4 linked regions of the Arabidopsis thaliana genome follow. The protein of the gene in region 1 interacts with the protein of each later gene in a biochemical or structural test. Each region holds a gene or a part of one and is shown on either strand. Other genes may lie near its edges.

The links.
Region 2: the proteins of MYA2 (region 1) and DCP1 form a complex in vitro, tested with the Arabidopsis thaliana proteins (one study listed by BioGRID).
Region 3: the proteins of MYA2 (region 1) and ATFP8 form a complex in vitro, tested with the Arabidopsis thaliana proteins (one study listed by BioGRID).
Region 4: the proteins of MYA2 (region 1) and RABC2A form a complex in vitro, tested with the Arabidopsis thaliana proteins (one study listed by BioGRID).

Annotation. Positions count from the first base shown.
Region 1 is NC_003076.8:17,664,433-17,669,319, forward strand, and holds the start of MYA2 (myosin 2), read right to left. Parts: upstream 3,020-4,887; 5' UTR 2,982-3,019; coding exon 2,895-2,981; exon of another isoform or gene 2,878-2,894; intron 2,532-2,877; exon of another isoform or gene 2,521-2,531; coding exon 2,464-2,520; exon of another isoform or gene 2,258-2,463; coding exon 2,219-2,257; intron 1,891-2,218; coding exon 1,762-1,890; intron 1,662-1,761; coding exon 1,518-1,661; intron 1,444-1,517; coding exon 1,298-1,443; intron 1,196-1,297; coding exon 1,039-1,195; intron 739-1,038; coding exon 680-738; intron 604-679; coding exon 444-603; intron 319-443; coding exon 169-318; intron 74-168; coding exon 1-73. Other genes in the region: AT5G43910 (pfkB-like carbohydrate kinase family protein), read right to left, coding at 3,105-3,191, 3,303-3,355, 3,429-3,555, 3,642-3,742, 3,954-4,080, 4,462-4,572, 4,664-4,814. UniProt on the Arabidopsis thaliana protein: Myosin heavy chain that is required for the cell cycle-regulated transport of various organelles and proteins for their segregation.
Region 2 is NC_003070.9:2,635,997-2,641,164, forward strand, and holds DCP1 (decapping 1), read left to right. Parts: upstream 1-2,040; 5' UTR 2,041-2,358; coding exon 2,359-2,517; intron 2,518-2,597; coding exon 2,598-2,638; intron 2,639-2,725; coding exon 2,726-2,775; intron 2,776-2,910; coding exon 2,911-3,055; intron 3,056-3,256; coding exon 3,257-3,313; intron 3,314-3,464; coding exon 3,465-3,579; intron 3,580-3,769; coding exon 3,770-4,249; intron 4,250-4,314; coding exon 4,315-4,371; 3' UTR 4,372-4,667; downstream 4,668-5,168. Other genes in the region: AT1G08360 (Ribosomal protein L1p/L10e family), read left to right, coding at 235-239, 652-871, 1,091-1,256, 1,439-1,698; PSAO (photosystem I subunit O), read right to left, coding at 5,008-5,168.
Region 3 is NC_003074.8:3,708,605-3,713,238, forward strand, and holds ATFP8 (Ras-related small GTP-binding family protein), read right to left. Parts: upstream 3,014-4,634; 5' UTR 2,794-3,013; coding exon 2,780-2,793; intron 2,699-2,779; coding exon 2,626-2,698; intron 2,514-2,625; coding exon 2,466-2,513; intron 2,382-2,465; coding exon 2,334-2,381; intron 2,261-2,333; coding exon 2,189-2,260; intron 1,997-2,188; coding exon 1,841-1,996; intron 1,508-1,840; coding exon 1,404-1,507; intron 989-1,403; coding exon 886-988; 3' UTR 527-885; downstream 1-526. Other genes in the region: AT3G11720 (Polyketide cyclase/dehydrase and lipid transport superfamily protein), read right to left, coding at 77-117; AT3G11740 (LURP-one-like protein (DUF567)), read left to right, coding at 3,823-4,032, 4,308-4,538. UniProt on the Arabidopsis thaliana protein: Protein transport. Regulator of membrane traffic from the Golgi apparatus towards the endoplasmic reticulum (ER).
Region 4 is NC_003076.8:884,985-889,250, forward strand, and holds RABC2A (RAB GTPase homolog C2A), read right to left. Parts: upstream 2,717-4,266; 5' UTR 2,475-2,716; exon of another isoform or gene 2,110-2,474; 5' UTR 2,078-2,109; coding exon 1,942-2,077; intron 1,603-1,941; coding exon 1,534-1,602; intron 1,443-1,533; coding exon 1,377-1,442; intron 1,287-1,376; coding exon 1,165-1,286; intron 1,078-1,164; coding exon 949-1,077; intron 868-948; coding exon 757-867; 3' UTR 538-756; downstream 1-537. Other genes in the region: RAB8C (RAB GTPase homolog 8C), read left to right, coding at 91-174. UniProt on the Arabidopsis thaliana protein: Intracellular vesicle trafficking and protein transport.

The sequences.
Region 1 (4,887 bases):
CAATCTCTTCCCCCTTAGCAAATTCGATATTCCCGATATGGAGAATGGCTGCCACGACGCTGAAAATAGCATCCTGAAACAAGATATCAGCAAAGCATAGAATCCGTTTACAGTGGCAATATTGCAGCTTTGGCTAAAATCTGACTGATGGAGTTCTGTGATAACTACCTGCTCCTCCGTACTGATCCCGACGACATCCATTGCCCGTCTTGTGGCATGATATTCCTCCGCATCATTTATACTATCCAGCTCTAGACATTTAGACTGATTGAGATAGTGATATTTCTTTGGTTCCTCCAGCTTGAATTTCTTCACATCCTGATAGTACAAAAAAACATTTCAGATAACAAGATGTGAGTTTGTATGCCAAACGAGGCTCAGATACTGGACATGTATGGTAAGTTATTCGGTGTTACTACTCCGAAGTGAACTACAAAACTTACTTCTTGTGGAGCAGCACAAAGCATGTAGAAACAGTGATAGTTTCTTTCAGGATCAGAGACTTGACAAACTCGTGATCTTTCCAACAAATAAGTTCTTATGGCAGCTCCTGATATTCTTCCCTTTTCGTCAAACTGAATCTCCACGAACTTACCAAAGCGACTATAAAGTACACAAATAAACAGTTCAGAAACACCCAAAGTGGTGATATTGAAAAGCTTTTTCAAAAAAAGGTTACCTGGAATTATTGTTCCTGACAGTCTTTGCATTTCCAAATGCTTCTAAAACAGGATTCGACTGAATAAAAGACACAATGAAGAAGCTTATAAGAACCATATCAAAGCAAGAAAAGGGAAAATCAACATCATATGCATATGGAAGTGAGCAAATAGCTGCTGACTATTCAGTTTGCCTTAATGTAAATGACTACTAGCATTGATTTTCTGAAGTTTAAGTTATTTGTTCACTCTACAGTTGCTCTTGAAAAGTAAACACAGCCGAAATGAATATTCGACCATCCTCTGAAGTCTGAAGTTTTAGATATTTGTTCAATTATCTAAAAACTTGATTTGACTAAATATGATGTTTTTTTTTCACCTCCAACACTTTCTGTTCAACACTTCTTCCCTCAGCAGCAGCTCTCCCTCCCATGTAAGCAAGATATCTCATAAGCAACTTTGTGCTTTCAGTTTTACCAGCACCACTTTCTCCACTAACCAGAATAGATTGACTTACTCCATCATTAATCATCTGTCTGCATTAGAACGAACACGAAAGCAGGCAAGTTTACATATAAGGATCAACAACAGCAACAAAAAAATAAAGGTAATATATATCACTAGTGTGTATAAATTACCTATACGCAGCATCTGCGACGGCGAATGGATGTGGACTCAATTCTCCTAAGGAAGCTCCTTTATATTGAGCCATCATATGGCTACTATAAAGATGAGGAAGTCTTCTAAACGGATTAACAGCAATAAGTATACTTCCTGTATAAGTCTGAAAGTAAATAAAATTTAGTCCACACATATTTCATAGTACATATATATTCGACATCGATATGAATTACTCACATAAATCTCGTTAATATCATATCTTGAATGCAAATTCTGTAGAACTCCAGGTTCATGCAAATAAGCAAGTCTAGTCATATCATCCACTCCAGAGGCTGGTGCTTCCACATCTTTAGGATAAGCATTAGAGATTTTCGTAACAACCTGAATTTTCCAAAAATAGCAAAAATCAATAACTGCTTTCTCTCAAAAGTCTTCTTGTGATTCTAATTTAGATGAGAAGCAAACACACACACACACATACATGTTTTCCTGAAGTGCATAGAACTTTGATCTCATCACCATTAACTTGTACAACTTCACCATCAATCCATGCTTCATCAGGATCCTCCACCCACACAAATGACCCCACTGATGGATTGAAGTTAGCAACCTGTAGAGCAAAAGTGTGTCACTAAAAGAATGCTTCTTGAGCTCTCACAAGCTTCCTTATGGTAATCACAACTCTTTAAAAAACTACATTTTTGATTGCTTTTGATTTCAGACTATAATAACCTCAATCACATGAAATTTGATTTCCAATCATACTAGAATTAGACCAAACGTCAAACTCCAAAACAGACAAGTCGTAGTTGCAGTCAAATCTCTATAATCATACAGAAGAAGACTCAAAAGTCAAGCACAAAGCCATGATCCGATATTAGATGCCCTTAAAAATCGCTAAATTAAACTAATTTCCCCCAAAATTAAACGAATCTTACCATTTCGTTTCGTAGATCAAAGACTTCAGCTTTCTGGATCTAGATTAAATCAAAACGAGCACTGAGCTTCTAAATCTACAAAAAAAGGTCCTCAAAGCGAATAAACTGAGATTTGGTGTAGAACTGTAGATTGGAGAAGACGAACTTTGCAAATCTAAACGCGTTTCTGGGAAAAATTTCCCCCCGAATATTTTTTGAGTATTATTATTTTCGTTTCTCTTTTTTTTTTTTTTTTTTTTGCTTACTTTGTTTTTCCCTTTTCGTGCCTCCCTGCTCTCTTCCACTTTCTGTGGGGATTTGGTCTGAATAGCTTAACAGCATCAATTTGCAATTAAAACATTGATTAAGACATCTTATTCCCAAACTACCCCTTGATTTTGTATAATCACGGAGCTAACTTTCGGACACGCTAAAACAATTATGTCCGTTCGCGAAATATATACTTGTCTCAAAAACGTATGAGACTAAAAAAAAATTCTTCTAAATTTTGTTCTTGATGTCACCAGAATTATTATTACATGTGCATGTGGGAGAATTTAAAACACATTATCTATCTCTTTAATTCATTGTCTAATTCTTCATGGTGTATAATTAAGATATTAATATAACTAATACACCGAATTCAACAAAAAGACATCTATTAATTTATCATATTGTGATACTTTTTCATTAGAACTTTGTTCACATGGTACACGTAAAGTAAGACGGTGTCACACACACAAACGCTGAAACGAGAATCTGACTTGGCTGCATCTAGGAACATTATTTTATTTCACTTTCATACGAAATAAATACAGACGTATTTATACGTCAAGAAGACTTTGAGATTTTATACGTCAAGAAGACTTTGAGATTTTATACGTCAAGAAAACAAAGAAAATTACGGTCATGTCCCTAAGAACGTTGCAAGGTTTGGATCAGTACGATATGGAAGACTTGTTCGAGCTCCTAAACCTCTGCAGCAGCAAGCAGCCTACACAAATTTCAAACGCAATTCCTTCAATCACTATTCTGATCAAACGCGTAACGCCTAGCGTTTTGAAAATAGCGCTGGAATAAACAAAAGAAGAAGAAGCAAACTTACGACTCGAGATGCAAATGTCAACATTTCCTCTAAAGCCATGCCTGTGCACAAACCTGTAAACAATTGGAGTCGGTCAGATTCTGTTCAGATACATTTGGTTTACTACGATTTAGTGAAGCGTAATACCATAAAGCAAAGCTCCGGTAAACGCATCTCCAGCACCGGTTGTGTCTATGAGTTCCGATGAAGGTATTTTCTCAGCTGTTACTATAACCAATCTCCCTGTAACATTCCCTGTCAGTCTAGTCACTAGCTGAAAATGTTAAGAGCATTGAAGATATTTTCATTAACAAAATGTAGAACTTGTGAGGAAATTATGTATCTGAAAACGTTATTTACCGATGAATTGCAGACCGGTAAGACACTTGTAAAGTCTGTGCTTTGTTTCAGAGACTCGTGTAATTCATCTATGTCTGTCTCTTCTTCTGACCCTGAAACCTCTGTAATGTTGATACACTAGAAGTTAGCATGTACATGGAAGAAGGCATGGTGTGATGTTAGCATGTAAAAAGATTTCGAATGATATATTGACCAACAACAACATTAGTTACAAATTAGCCCCTTATACATAAGCCTTCCTTTATGGAGAACATGAGTGATCCTAAGTCAAAAACTCTGACCTTTGGACAATCGTAAATAAGGAAAACTCACCACTGGAACATCTCTCAAGCATCACACAACCGTGTTCCCCCAAAGTCATGATCACAAATTTTAGCTTTGGTAATCTTATGAGCATAGAGAGAAGTGCACTGGGAGATGAGGGTGCCCCTGTCCATTCCTGTTTTTCCCAATCAAATAAGTCGACCATTAAAGATTCTAGTCATTCTAAACACAAGCTATGATACAATTTTGATGCAAGATCATGTGTTACTGGTTACAAAACCAAAACATTGTCGGATTTTTCAGGTGTAAATAATAAAGAGTACATGAACCTTCTAGTTCATTAGAAGTTCTCATAGATTCACCTAAGCTCCATAAGTTATAGATTCCACATATTCAGATTTATGGTACCAACAATTAATACTAATTGATTTCACTAATCATCAACAAAGAGCTTTTTAAGAAAGTGGTATGCTCTTTACTATGATTCTCTAGTATTTCACAACCTATGAACCAATTGATCCGTGAATTACAGAACTATTCCTAGAAATACTCTCACCTGAGGGAAGTTAGTAGAACAAATAGCATAATCAGCTAAGTCAATGAGCTCATCTAGCCCTGTCCTTTTTTTCTCTGCATTAATTAAGATTGGTATATTCTTGCTATGTGCCTGCATAAAAACCATAGATGAGTGAGAAAGAGCTGTAACATACGTAAACAGAACTAAGCAAAACACACCAAACAGAGCATTTTCATTTCACCTTTTGCGCAAGAAGCAATTCGGCTTCACGGGACCTTCCATTTACATATAGAACTCTTACTCCATCAAGAACATCTAGAAGTAGAGATTCAGTAAGGTCATCTGGTAGCAAAGGAGGATATCCTGGAGTGTAAATACAAGTACGAGTATTCCTACAAATTTGTTACAAGAATAGTATCAAAACAAATGGAAACTTAAATATTTGCTAGAAATTTGTTATACCAT
Region 2 (5,168 bases), on another chromosome or scaffold:
ATAAAGGCTTCGCCTTTCGAGAAATTTAGGGTTTCTTCTGTCTGTCTCGTCACTCAGGTTTGTGCCTCAACGACTGCTTCACTTCTAGCTTGATTCTTCTTCTTCGTTTATATGTATACTGTACATTAGATTATTCTTGTTTCTCGAGCTTCTGCTATAGATTTTGATTCTTTTTTTTGTTGTCTTTGTTTCGTTTCCAGGATCAGATCTTAGCTAAATTGAGACAAGCTCAAAATGAGGTACTTGACGCATCTCTTACATTCACTGTTTAATTAGAGAACAATACGTCTCTGAATCGTGATTCAGAGACGTATTGTTCTTCTGTCATATGCAATAAGTTTAATTAGAGAACAATACGTCTCTGAATCGTGATTGTTTTTTGGATGTGCGTTATTGATAGCTTTATGATGTTAATAGTCTAGGATTGACACGAAGTTGTTCTGCAGTTTTGCATAAATGCTCTTTACTAAGGCCTCTAAATTTGGATGACAAATCTAAATCTTGCCTCATAAAAATTTAGGTGTATTAAGATAAGATTATTTTGTATGGTAGTGTCTATAATGTGGGTTGTTCATGTTGAGGTTGTCAATGTTGTGTATTTTTGTTTGTTTAGTTAATTTGCTTAACTCTGTTCTTTGTGGGTTAATACAGTAAGCTTCAGAGTGAGGCCGTTCGTGAAGCCATCACTACTATCACAGGGAAATCCGAGGCAAAGAAACGTAACTTTGTCGAGACTATTGAGCTCCAGATCGGTCTGAAGAACTATGACCCTCAAAAGGACAAGCGTTTCAGTGGATCTGTCAAGTTACCACATATCCCCCGTCCTAAAATGAAGATCTGCATGCTCGGAGATGCCCAGCATGTTGAAGAGGTGATATATCTTTTCATGGAAATTGATCATTTTGTGCTCTGTTTCTTGTATAATGGTTTTGTGCTCATTTCATTTGGTGGCTCTATTAGTTTCATTTGATGTTGTATATGTCTTCTGAATGTAGATGCATGATGTTTTCGGAATTTGGTCATTGTTTATTTAGGCTTCATTTCTTGCATAATTAAATATTTGCTTATTTCATCTTGTATCTTTTCGTAGGCTGAGAAGATGGGGTTGGAAAACATGGATGTTGAGTCTCTAAAAAAGCTTAACAAGAACAAGAAACTCGTCAAGAAGCTTGCAAAGAAATACCATGCTTTCTTGGCCTCTGAGTCTGTCATTAAGCAGATTCCTCGTCTTCTTGGTCCTGGTCTTAACAAGGCAGGCAAGTTCTGGCTACAGCTAATATTCCATTGTTCTTCTTTACATCCGTTTTGATTTTGGATAGGTTTTAGTAGTCTATTTCTTTTGTCAATGTCTTTTTGATACAATGCCAATCCTTTATCCTGTGAGATTATGCTTCTTTGATGATTCTTAAGTAACATTCCTTTGCTTTACTTTACACAGGAAAATTCCCAACTCTTGTGAGCCACCAGGAATCCTTGGAGTCAAAGGTGAATGAAACAAAGGCAACAGTGAAGTTCCAGCTGAAGAAGGTTCTGTGCATGGGAGTTGCAGTTGGTAACCTTTCAATGGAAGAGAAGCAGATCTTTCAGAATGTGCAGATGAGCGTCAACTTCCTCGTCTCGCTATTGAAGAAGAACTGGCAAAATGTCAGGTGTTTGTACCTCAAGAGCACAATGGGACCACCACAAAGAATCTTCTGAGCTTTCACCTACTTAAAATTGGTGGCTATAAGACACTTCTTCTTACCCTTTCGTTTTTGTTTCAGACATATCTGTTAAACAGTGTAAGAGTTGTGCTGCTACTCTCCTCTTTAGCTTTTGGTTTGGATAATTTGAAATAACTGCAGTGATTTTGGTTAATGGATTTTGTAGCTTATATTATCTTTGAATTAGATGTGCTTATTTCAAAGACGAATCAATCCACAGATGTGAATAAAAACAGAAATTTTCGTTTTCAATTTGAAAATTGTCCTCGTGGACTGTTCCATAACCAAATTCTATTGACTATGCAGTAATTGATCTTTGAATTAAAAGGATCAACCCACTGATTATACTCCAATTGAATAAATATTCTTCTTTAATGTTGTTTATAATCTCTTAAGCAAGCTCTAATGATGTATTTTTGAAGCAAACTCTAATGCTTTTATGGTCAGTATATTTATTCTCTTAAGTTTTATAACTAAATTACCATTTTTTTTTGCCAAAGCAGACAACAAAATAGCGAAGTGCGTTCCAAAAGTTAGCGTTTTCGTCTCCGTCCCCAAATCTCTCAGCTACCTTAAATCAGAATTCTAGGGTTCTTCCGATTAGGGTAAAATCGAATCCAGATTTCCCAAAATTCTGATCTTTGATTTATAAAAGATGTCTCAAAACGGGAAGATAATCCCAAATCTGGACCAAAACAGTACGAGGCTCCTCAATCTCACAGTTCTCCAGCGGATCGATCCATACATCGAGGAAATCCTCATCACAGCCGCTCATGTCACTTTCTATGAATTCAACATTGAGCTCAGCCAATGGGTTAGTCTCAATCAATCTTCGATTACATAATTTGATGTTTGCTTCCCTACCTAATGATTGATCTGTCTTTTGTCATTCAGAGTCGTAAGGACGTTGAAGGATCTTTGTTTGTTGTCAAAAGGTTACTACTTTCGATCTTTAACTATGTGTATCTTATCTTTAATCGTCTTCTCAAATCTGATTGGATCCTTTTTTTTGTTTCTTTCAGAAGTACACAACCTCGATTTCAGTTTATTGTGATGAATCGTCGTAATACAGGTCAGGATTTATTCAAATAAAGTTGGTGTGTGTCATGTGTCTAGAAAAGGTTTAGATTTAGTAATATATTGCAAGTTCTTATTTAAGGATTCAGTATTAGTAATCATCAGTGTGTTGCTGTATTTGTCTGGATAGATAATCTGGTGGAGAATCTCCTGGGAGATTTTGAGTATGAAGTACAAGGTCCATATTTACTTTACCGTAATGCATCTCAAGAAGTAAATGGCATTTGGTTCTACAATAAACGTGAATGCGAGGAGGTAGCAACTCTTTTCAACAGGTATGTATATATAAGTCACTGCATATCAGGTAGAAACTGTTGGTTTCAATTGTTGGATCATGAATAATATCAATATCGTCTTTTATTTGCCTATTATCAGACAGTTACTTGTTGGCAAATATAATGTTCTTGTATATTTGTATGAACTTGAAATTACTCTTACTCGTTGTATCTCTGCCTAATGGTTCCTTGGCATGACAGAATACTCAGTGCATATTCCAAGGTTAACCAGAAGCCAAAGGCCTCATCTTCAAAGAGGTAATATTTTCATGATTAGATTTAGTTAGTACACCATTAGTTGTTTCTTGGATGTGTTTTCTTTGAGGTGGAAACTTGATAATCTAAATCATTTTTCCCGCTGTTATATCTCTTACTTGTTAAATTAAGTTAGATTTTCTATGTACTGCAGTGAGTTTGAGGAATTGGAAGCTAAGCCTACAATGGCAGTTATGGATGGTCCTCTTGAACCATCATCAACTGCTAGGGATGCCCCTGATGATCCTGCTTTTGTCAACTTCTTTAGCGTAAGTTTCTAAAGCTTCTGTTACACACTCACACTATCATCTTCACCATGACAGCATCTTATACGACTAATGGCAGGAGGGCTTTCTATTAGTTCTAGCCTTCTAGGTTCTTGAATTATCTTCAGCGTAGTATATGGTCCAACTTAGACTCCTCAAATTGTAACACTGAATTTATCTAAATTGTTGACAGTCAACGATGAATCTTGGGAACACTGCGAGTGGGTCAGCAAGTGGACCTTACCAATCATCAGCGATTCCTCACCAACCTCACCAGCCTCACCAACCCACCATTGCTCCTCCTGTAGCGGCAGCAGCACCTCCACAGATACAATCACCACCGCCTCTACAATCCTCCTCTCCTCTGATGACTCTCTTTGACAACAACCCTGAAGTTATCAGCAGCAACTCCAACATTCACACAGATTTGGTGACGCCGTCTTTCTTTGGCCCCCCACGAATGATGGCACAGCCACACCTCATTCCTGGTGTATCTATGCCCACTGCTCCTCCTCTCAATCCTAATAATGCGAGTCACCAGCAGCGGTCATATGGTACTCCGGTGCTCCAGCCTTTCCCACCCCCAACTCCACCACCATCACTCGCTCCTGCACCCACTGGTCCGGTTATCAGCAGAGACAAAGTGAAGGAAGCCCTTTTATCCCTGTTGCAGGTTCGTCCTTTACCACATCACTTTATTTGAGCTGCTGTGCAAACCTAACGAGTTGCTTTTGACAGGAGGATGAATTCATTGACAAGATTACCCGAACTTTACAAAATGCACTTCAACAATGAAGCTGCGCTGGTCAGCATCTACGTGTGGGATAGTGGCTGTTTGATCTAGAATGTGTAGTTAAAATGTAGTTTTGTTCCCTCTGAAAGTGTTGTTGGAACCTTATAAGATACTGCACTGCCCCCTTTGTTTAACTCTTGGAATTACTTTTTCATTTTATCTACTTTCAAGTTTTTACCTTTCCTCATCAATTTTTGTTTCGTAGTCGAAAGACATGTTAAAGACTTTAGATTCACAAATCTTCATGCATGTTTAGAGTTTATTGGAACATATACACATCAAGATTAATACAAAAAACATGAAAGAGTAAGAAGAAAGAGAGATAATTTTTCTATTTTTTAAAAGATTCGAGATTGCAAGACAAAAACTGTTTGTATGGTTCAAGTCAAAGACGTATTGTGATGTTTCGTTTTGAAGTATTATCCCAATCTTTTGTGAGCTTTCCCTCGAGAAACGCTTTTAACATTTAATACTTTAGTTAGACTGACAGACATTCTTAAAATCAAGATCATATAAGAAAGACTTGTCGAGATATAGAATGAAACATCAAATAGCAAAGAAAGCTTTGTTTTGATTGATAATATTACACATAACCAAGAGAGAGCATATAGTACAAACGAAAACAAGAATAGTTATCCTTAGAAGTAATCTTCAGTCCTGCCCTTGAATCCGATTTGTCCGAAAGTGAGGCAGAGGAAGAGGCCTAAGTGCCACGTAACCAACCACAACCAGAACTGTGAAGTGAGAGCTGGAGGAGTCGGGAAGTGAGCGAGCTCAGTTCCGATGCTATCGAAGAAGA
Region 3 (4,634 bases), on another chromosome or scaffold:
AGAATGTGAAGAAAAAGTCTCATTACCAATAATAATAAGAATTGGATTTGACAAAGTTTGAGAGTCTGTGTCAGACTTTATTTTAGAGGGACCAGGTCGGTTAACTGTCGTTGTCATGAGATCTTTCCTGTCTGTCTTTTTATCATTCAAACAAAAAAAAATGAATTTATAAAACTTAAACACAAACAAATAAGATCACTTTTGATTTATTTTATTTTTTAAATAAGGATGTGCAGGAATGAGATTTTCTTCTAAAATTGTGGGAGTAAATGAATGAATCTAGGTATGATTGATTTCATCAAAATCAGAAAACTGATTGTTTCTAGAAAAACATGCATTTGGGGTATTTTGAAACCACATGAGTATATGATGAGTTATTATAAACTAGAATTGCGTTGTAAACGAAATAGAACAAATCTTCTTTTGGAAATCCGTATACTTTAGCGTAAGAAAATGGAAGAATTTGATTTGGACTCGTATCTTTGAAGTATATATAATTCAGCATTTACATTATTGAGATTTATCTCTCATATGTTGTTTTTGCTTTTCCTCATTCTATGGACTTAGCTGCAAGTTTTAAATATCTATGGTAATGAACATGGTCCAGCCTATACAGCAACGAATATCTATCACTATTTTTAATATATATACACAATCAAAATTCAAAACCATGAGTTGCTTGCATATCCCTGTGTGGTCAAAGTCAAGACTGAACTATATTAAAGAGAAGTATCTTGCAACTAACACCATAGCTTATTCAAGACACAGCGACATGGAATATTACATTTCTTAGTTGTTTTAAACAGCCATTGGTTTTCACAACACTTAGTTAAAAAGGAAGTAAAAAAAGAGTCTCAGATAGTTTTGATTAAAACATTTTTTAAACTACTGACCGCAGCAACCGCCATTGTTCTGTTGGATTGGCTGACCTTTCATTTGGACAGTTCCAGGACCAGATGTCTTGTTTGCATTCGTTTGGCTTCCCATTCTGCAAAGAAAATGAGTTACGATATGATTAGACTCAATTCTCCATGTTACATAAACTAGACTGAATCAGCAAATGTCGATACAAGATATCAACCATATGGAAAATCTATCAACAGAAGTTAAGTACACAAGCTTGAGGAAGCTACAAGGATACAGCAGTTAGTTTGTTGATTTGCTTTCCATTAGTCATCAAGTCTAGAATAGCACACTTCGGATTTGAAACTTTACATGAATAGTTTATTTCATGAAAACAGTGGAGAATCAAGATGCTTTGCAGCAGAAAAAAACACAGAGAATGATTTGATGTATATAATGGTGATCAAGGAATATAGTAATAGAACAAGTTTACTAAACCTAATCTATGTTAAATCTTCGCAGAAAAAATTATGGCGAAAGATTAAAGATAGTGAACATACTTCTTTTTTATCTCGCCAGCAATAGTTAAGAATGCCTGTTCAACGTTAATAGAATCCTTGGCACTGGTCTCAAGAAAGGGAATTCCAAGCTCATCTGCTAAGGCCTGCAGTGATTTTGAGTAGATGAAATGTAAGAAAACCAATTCACAGTTGTATCAGGAGTAACAGCTGCTGCAAAAATAAGCAATTTCTACTCGGTGGATTCAGATCATCTAGCTTTGGGAATTTGGTCAGAGATCATCTACATTCATAGCCGTAAATTCTGGTATAACAATCTCAATGGTTGTAATATCATCACATGGTTAAAGATATGCGAAACCATGAAATGATCAAATGAGGAAAGGGGAAAGTACCATGCAAAGGATGTTATGCATAAGATAGAAGCAAAATCATAAATGGAAAAATTGCTGGGAACTTAACTAGGGATGTGAGCTTACCCTTCCAGTTTCGGTGGAAACAACTTTGCTTTCAACCATATCATTCTTGTTACCGATTAAAAGCTTGCAAACACTCTCATTGGCATATCTATCGATCTCACTCAACCACTGCTTCACATTGTTGAAGCTTTCCATCTCAGTACAGTCATAAACAATCTGTTGCAATTATCATCATTAAGGTTCATCACTTAAAGGGTGGATTACAACATTAAAATGATTCATATTCCAACATTACAATACCAATCTCAGACTAAACCACTTAAAATGAGAAATGGAAATAGGGACATAACACTAGTCTAGGTAAGCCAAAAAAAAGCAAGTAAGAAAGCGAATATAAAGATTGCTCACAATGATTCCATGAGCTCCTCTGTAATAGCTGCTAGTGATGGTCCTGAAACGCTCCTGTCCAGCAGTATCCCACTAAAAGAGAGCAGCAACAGTAAAATTGAGTAAACACAATCATCCAAAACATATTATATAATTGAAAACTCACAATTTGCAGCTTAATCGTCTTCCCATCCTGCTCAATCGTCCTAATTTTCTGCAAAACCAACCACATTATAAGTAAGTTTGGGATAAAACAATCTCGATCATGTATGTAAACAAGGTCAAAGAATGAACTTACGAAGTCAACACCAATGGTGCTTATGTAGCTGTCAATGTAAGCATCATCCTAGAAATAGCAACAAATCCCAAAATCACGAAACAGTACAAAAGAAGAAACCTAACACGAGCTAATTCTCGACGACGGAATCAATTAAGAATCAAAATCAAGTCAAACTCACAGCGAATCGGAGAAGAAGACACGATTTTCCAACAGAGGAGTCACCGATCAACAAAAGCTTGAACAGATAATCGCTACAACAACAAAAAATCGAAATCGGTGTGAGTAAAATCGAAAACGAAAGAATGGCTCTCAAGGAGGAGAGAAACACTTACTACTCGTTGCTCATGATTTAGCTGAAGACTGCGTTTCCGAGATTTGATTTTCCAAGATGAGAACAACTTTCCGGGAAAAAGCTCTTTTTCTCTATAATATAAGAAACAAAAAAAAAGAGAGGTTTGGGTTTAGGGGGCGTGTCAATCAATTTACATGAACATTGAACCCCACGACTTCTACTGGATTTTTTTGTTCCCAGTTTTTTTAATATTTGTTTAATTCCTTGTTGTTTTTCCCGAGACAATAAAGAAGCTTTGACCTTGTCTCACTGATTTCTTTACGTGTGTGTGTCTTCTTATTTGGGCTTTTTGATAAATGGGCCGAGCTCAAAATCTTGTCTATCTAACTTAACCGTCGTTAACGTCCTGGCCCTGTTATTAAAGGTTTGGATTTTATTACTCATGTATATGTCTCAATTTTTATTTTTATTTTTTTAGAGAAGATAATTTTACATAAATTTGATTTATAATCCGTGATCAAGATGTGAGGAATTAAATATAATGAAGTATTTAAAGCGGATTAAAAAGGTATATTGAAAAAGAAAAGAAAAACTTTGATTGAATATGCATGGATTTTCCAATTTTATATGACAGTATATTTTATCAACAAAATCATTCTCTTTTTCATACTCCATTCATATCATTTTTAATTAAGTCATATTAATCCTACCAAAAGTTACCTTCTAATTTTACGTTTCTTCTAATTTCCTTTTCTGGCAAAAAAGAAGATATTTCCTCAATTTATAATATTTTTTTTCCATCAAACTATTTTTTTTTATATAACCAAAAAAAAAAAGTGTAGTAACGCTAACGTGTTTGCAGCTTGCAACTTGGCTAGCAGATTTAAAATAAGATAAGTTCTAAAAATAAACAAAACATATATAGCCAAAAACACAAAATTAAAAACACGAAGATTTGTTTCACACAATACTTGGAATATCCTAATTATAAATAACTAAAAAGATTGAGAAACGAACACAAATCTCCACCTTATACAAGAATCGTAAAAGAGAAAAAAAAAACAGAGAGAGATCTTCAAAAAGATGGCGATCGTTAGCCCTAATTTCTGTGCACCGTACCCTATCGAGTTGGGAATCGTACGGAAGGTGATGACTTTAACCGATGGTAACTTCGCCGTCACGGACGTTAACGGCAATCTCCTTTTCAAAGTCAAGGAACCTTTGTTTAGCATCAGCGACAAAAGGATTTTATTGGACGCATACGATACTCCAATCTTGACTTTGAGAGAAAATGTAAGTATACGTCTATCAACTACAATTCTTTATAACTTGCATGGAGAGGCACAATTTTTTCATGGTGATACAAAAAAAAAATTTCATTATGCAAATCATATATACACAAACATGCTCTTATAACTTGCATGGAGGTACACTTTTTCAATACGTCTATCAACTAATTGTAAATAATATCAAAATCATCATCACTCATTCGAGTATGTTAAATCGTCATAGATCATCCAATAAAATCTGATCCACAACTTTTTTTTCTTATAACATAAAAATTGTAGAAGGTGAGCTTGCATGATAGGTGGCTAGTATATAGAGGGAAGAGTACAGACCAAAGTGATCTATTATACACATTGAAACGATCTTCAATGATTCAAATAATGAAGCCAAAACTAGACATCTTTTTGGCTCATAATAAAGAAATGAAGATTTGCGACTTCCATGTTAAAGGAAGTTGGATCGACCGGTCTTGTGTCGTCTACGCCGGCAAATCTGATGCCATTGTTGCTCAGGTAATTACACTGATCAAATTGTCTGTAAATTGTATAAACCGGACTAGCTAGTTATATGATCGTGTTAATTGAGTCATTGTTGTTGTTTTGTTGTTT
Region 4 (4,266 bases), about 17 Mb from region 1:
GGAATCAACCATTAATACTCGATCTTCATATTCTTATACCGACATTTTAGCTGAGTAATAAACATATGTACTGTTCTTGTTACTTTGCAGCCCCAAGGCATCAAGATCACTAAACAAGATACTGCCGCATCGTCTTCTACAGCCGAGAAGTCAGCTTGCTGTAGTTACGTTTAGGAGTATGATTGCTCTTTTTCGCCTGCACCGGGTTTTTTAAATATCTGGCCATCTTTTTCATCTCTTACGTCTCAAATCAGAGATAATTCTCATGTTGTTACCTAGAACGAGTAGGAAATCTCATTGATGGTTGTGATCTTTATGTCTAATTTGTTATCTCCATAATTCCTGTACAATGATCTTCCTGATATGGAAGACTATGTTGGTCAAAAAACTATGTGAAAAAGACTTTGAATTTATAAAAATGAAACTGTTGTAGTGTGTATACCTCTGACTTCACTGTTCAAATCAGGATTTATCTTATTCACTGTGAATGCTGTTCTCTACTAGAACCATAGTTTGAGCCAAAATAAACACGGATTTAAGAAAACACTTGATGGGGTTTATTCTATTATATGATGTTATTATCACAAATCTCATTTCAGAAGCAAAAGAAGAATACAAGTAATCCCACAAATTTACATTGAAGCTACATTATGTTCTACACACAAAAGAGGCAACCACAGAGAGAAGAATCAGGTTCAGTTTGCAATACACAAGATAAAGATTCGAGTATTTTATATGCAACATCGACTAGGGTCACTAGCTGCAACAGCCGGATTGAGTATTAGTCTGGTGTTCTGGTTTCTGCTTCAAGATGTTTCTCTTCACAGCACTTGATCCTTCTTCCAAGAGACTAGGTACCTCCATTATCTGTTTCATCACATTCACTCTATGTTATATATGAATCTCTCTTTTCGAATCGTTTTTTTAAACAGATTTAAGGATCTTTACCTTCAAAGCCAACTCTTCGAAACACTGTTCCACGTTTTGTCGAGTTCTAGCACTACACTCAAGAAACATGCAGTTGAGTTCTTTTGCTAGAGCAATCCCTTCTTCTCTGCTTACTCCTCTCTCAGATTCCTGTAATCATATGTTTTATCCAGTCAACTACCAAAATGACCAAACCGTGTTTTGAGAACAAGTAGTGCGATTTCGATTGCAACTCACTCTATCGACTTTGTTCCCAACGAGCATCCTTACACATTCTTGGTTTGTGGAGTAAAGCTCAATCTCCTTACCCCACACATCTACTAAGTTTGTAAATGTCTCCCTTCTCGTCACATCATAAACTGCATTCACCAAGAAACATTAACTAAACAGTTTACAGACAGAGAGATCTCTTAGTCTCCTTTGATTGATTGATTGATGATGGACGTTACCGAGAATGATTCCTTGGGCGCCTCTGTAGTAAGAGCTTGTCAGTGTTCTAAACCGTTCCTGTCCAGCTACAATGAGAAAACCGAGAATATTATCAGAACCATTAGTTTTATTTACAATAAAACTTCTATAATAATCTCAAAATATAGAATCATTCACCTGTGTCCCAGATTGTGAGTTTTAGCCTTTTGCCTCCTACTGTCAATTGTTTGATCTTGAAATCAACACCTATGAGTAATACTTATGTTAAACCAACAATATAATGCCAATAAGATCCGACAAAACAGACTTCCTTAAACCAAACCAAGACCAGACTGCTAGATTATCAGACAGAAAGTATCTAACTGGGTCTAACCAAAAAAGTCAATATTGTTTCAGTGGCAATTCGATCAAAGACAGATGTTCATCATTCAAGCTCTTCCATTTATAGAATACTACTATTTGATCAACAACTAAAGCACCAAAGACATGACTTAGCTTCATATCAATTTCAGAGCTCTTAAGACATAAATCTGAGACCCTTTTTCAAAAATCATAGAGGAAACAAGTTGAAGAAAACTATTTTACCAATAGTAGGAGCAAGATCTTCAACGGAGCTAGAAATGAAGCTGACAAGCAAACTGCTTTTACCAACACCAGAATCACCAATCAACAAGATCTTAAAAGACAGATCGTATCCACTTTGCCCAGAAGAAGATCCCATTTTCTAAAACCTCAGATTTGCTGTTTCTCGATCTGTAATTCTAGAAGATCAAATCAAATCCTACTTAACCACCAACTACTACAAAAGCAAACTTTTAGATAAACAATAATATGAATCTATGAAGCAGTAATGATGATAATGATAATGATAATGATGCTTCCTCGTTTGATAATTACATCTATCTGCACTCTCTACTTTATAAGTAGTAGCAATCTAAGAAAAAGGGAGAATTTTTATTTGCCTGTGAATGATGCAAACAAATGTTTTGATTAAAATAAGGAAAAGAAATGTGATGAAGAAACTGGAAGATTTATTCTTTACGGAGAAAGAGAGGAGAACTGGTAAAATGAGAGTTTTTTTTTTTTTTTTCTTTTGAAGAAGAAGACAAGACACAGACCTGAGATAGTAACGTTTGTTCTTTGCTTTCTTCTCTCCGACACTTTGCTTCACTCAAACGTCTCTGTTTTGGTTTCCAGGTTCTTTTGTCGACGTGTGTGTGTAGCGTTTTGGAATCGCGGCTGCGGTTGCCATATCTATTAACCACTGCGGTTGGAGACTAACCGTTTTCGTGGGCTACCAATTGAAACGATTTGATTTTGTCAGTTAGTTTGTTAAAGCGTTTTAAATTAGCGATTGTAAAAAGGGAATGAGCATTATTTTTGGACAGACTAATTTAAACAGTCTAAAAAATTAGACGATTCATTGAACCGCTTAGAAAAAGTGGTTGGAATTCATTATTATTTTTAAATTTTAATGTGTCTATACTTTCATGAATTTTGTTTTTTATATCTATAAAACAATTTATGATATGTCACTAGCTTACTATACATATTTTTTTAGTCATTAACATCATTTCTCATTGCTTTAGGCTATATTGTATTCTCTACAATATAAATTGAAATAAGGAAAAAAAAAACTTACAATGACTAAATTTTAGTCACCAATGGAACTAATTATTTTGTAAGAAGGTTGAAAACTACTTTTTTTTTTTTCTAGAAGAGTCGGCGAACAGTGATGGTTAAATGAATTATGGGAGCCATGTTTGGCCTTCGTCTGCTGTCAGCCAAGCCCCTGCGAAACCCCACCCCTGGCCTGTGCAAAAGTTTACGCGCGCATTCTGAGAACGTGCTTTCCACGCTCCGATTAAGACGTCACTAAGAGTCAAAGCACTTTGATTTTCTCTTCTTTTCTCACAAAACACTTTCTTTTTTTATATACAGTATGATTTTTTTTTTTGTCGTCATTTTTTTTTATTTATTTATTTAATATGCCTCTTATGGTAAAACATATTTCAAGAAGGTTTATGTTTCTATAAACTAAAAGTTATCAACGGCAGATGAATAAATATGGAACTAATTTTCTCTCTAAATATCCAAAAATATGAGAATGTTGTCCATGGTTTTGGGAACAGAATGAGTGACGGAAAAGCCATGAAAAGAAAAGGTATCTTAGGAATATCATCTTCCTTTTGCTCGCCTAACCTTTTTTTATTGTTCTTCTCTTTTTGAATTTAAAATATTTTTCTGCTCTCTAGTAAACATTTAAACCATCGTAATAAATTGAGAATAAAGTGTGTGTATGTTTGTGTGTGTGAATGTTCGGTGTGATTTCAATTTATTGGAGGATAGAACTGTTGTGTCGAAATTGACACACCAAGGTGCCAAGTTGAGTACAAAATAAAGATCCTCTAGAGGCTACATCTTCGTCTAACAATCCTCATAAGTCTTCTTCTTCTTCTTTTTTTTTTAGTTTTCAACACACTAATGTCAAGTGTTTTGTTCATTTCTTTTTAGTTATAATATGTCTCTTGAGAAAATGTTGATATTTAGTTTGTTGTTGAGCCATTTATTTTCTGAGACAAATTTGGTCGTTAATGGATAATATTCTTAGAGATAGATCTACAGTACTGTGACTTTTGTGTAAAAACAAATTTGTAGCCGTATTTAATGGGCTATTTCGTATTTGGACAATAGCCTTTTATTTTGTGGGCCATGATATGTCAACACTGCTCAATGCTTATAAATGTTGTCGACATTTAACGAACGATATAACACCAAAAACTTCGAGTTTGTAAAGAAAAATTATGAGAGGATTACATTATGGTTAGCATATCTGACTATAATAAATTGAAAAATTACATTACTGGTTGATGGAAAGACAAATTTTTATTGAAGTGTACTTATTTCTTT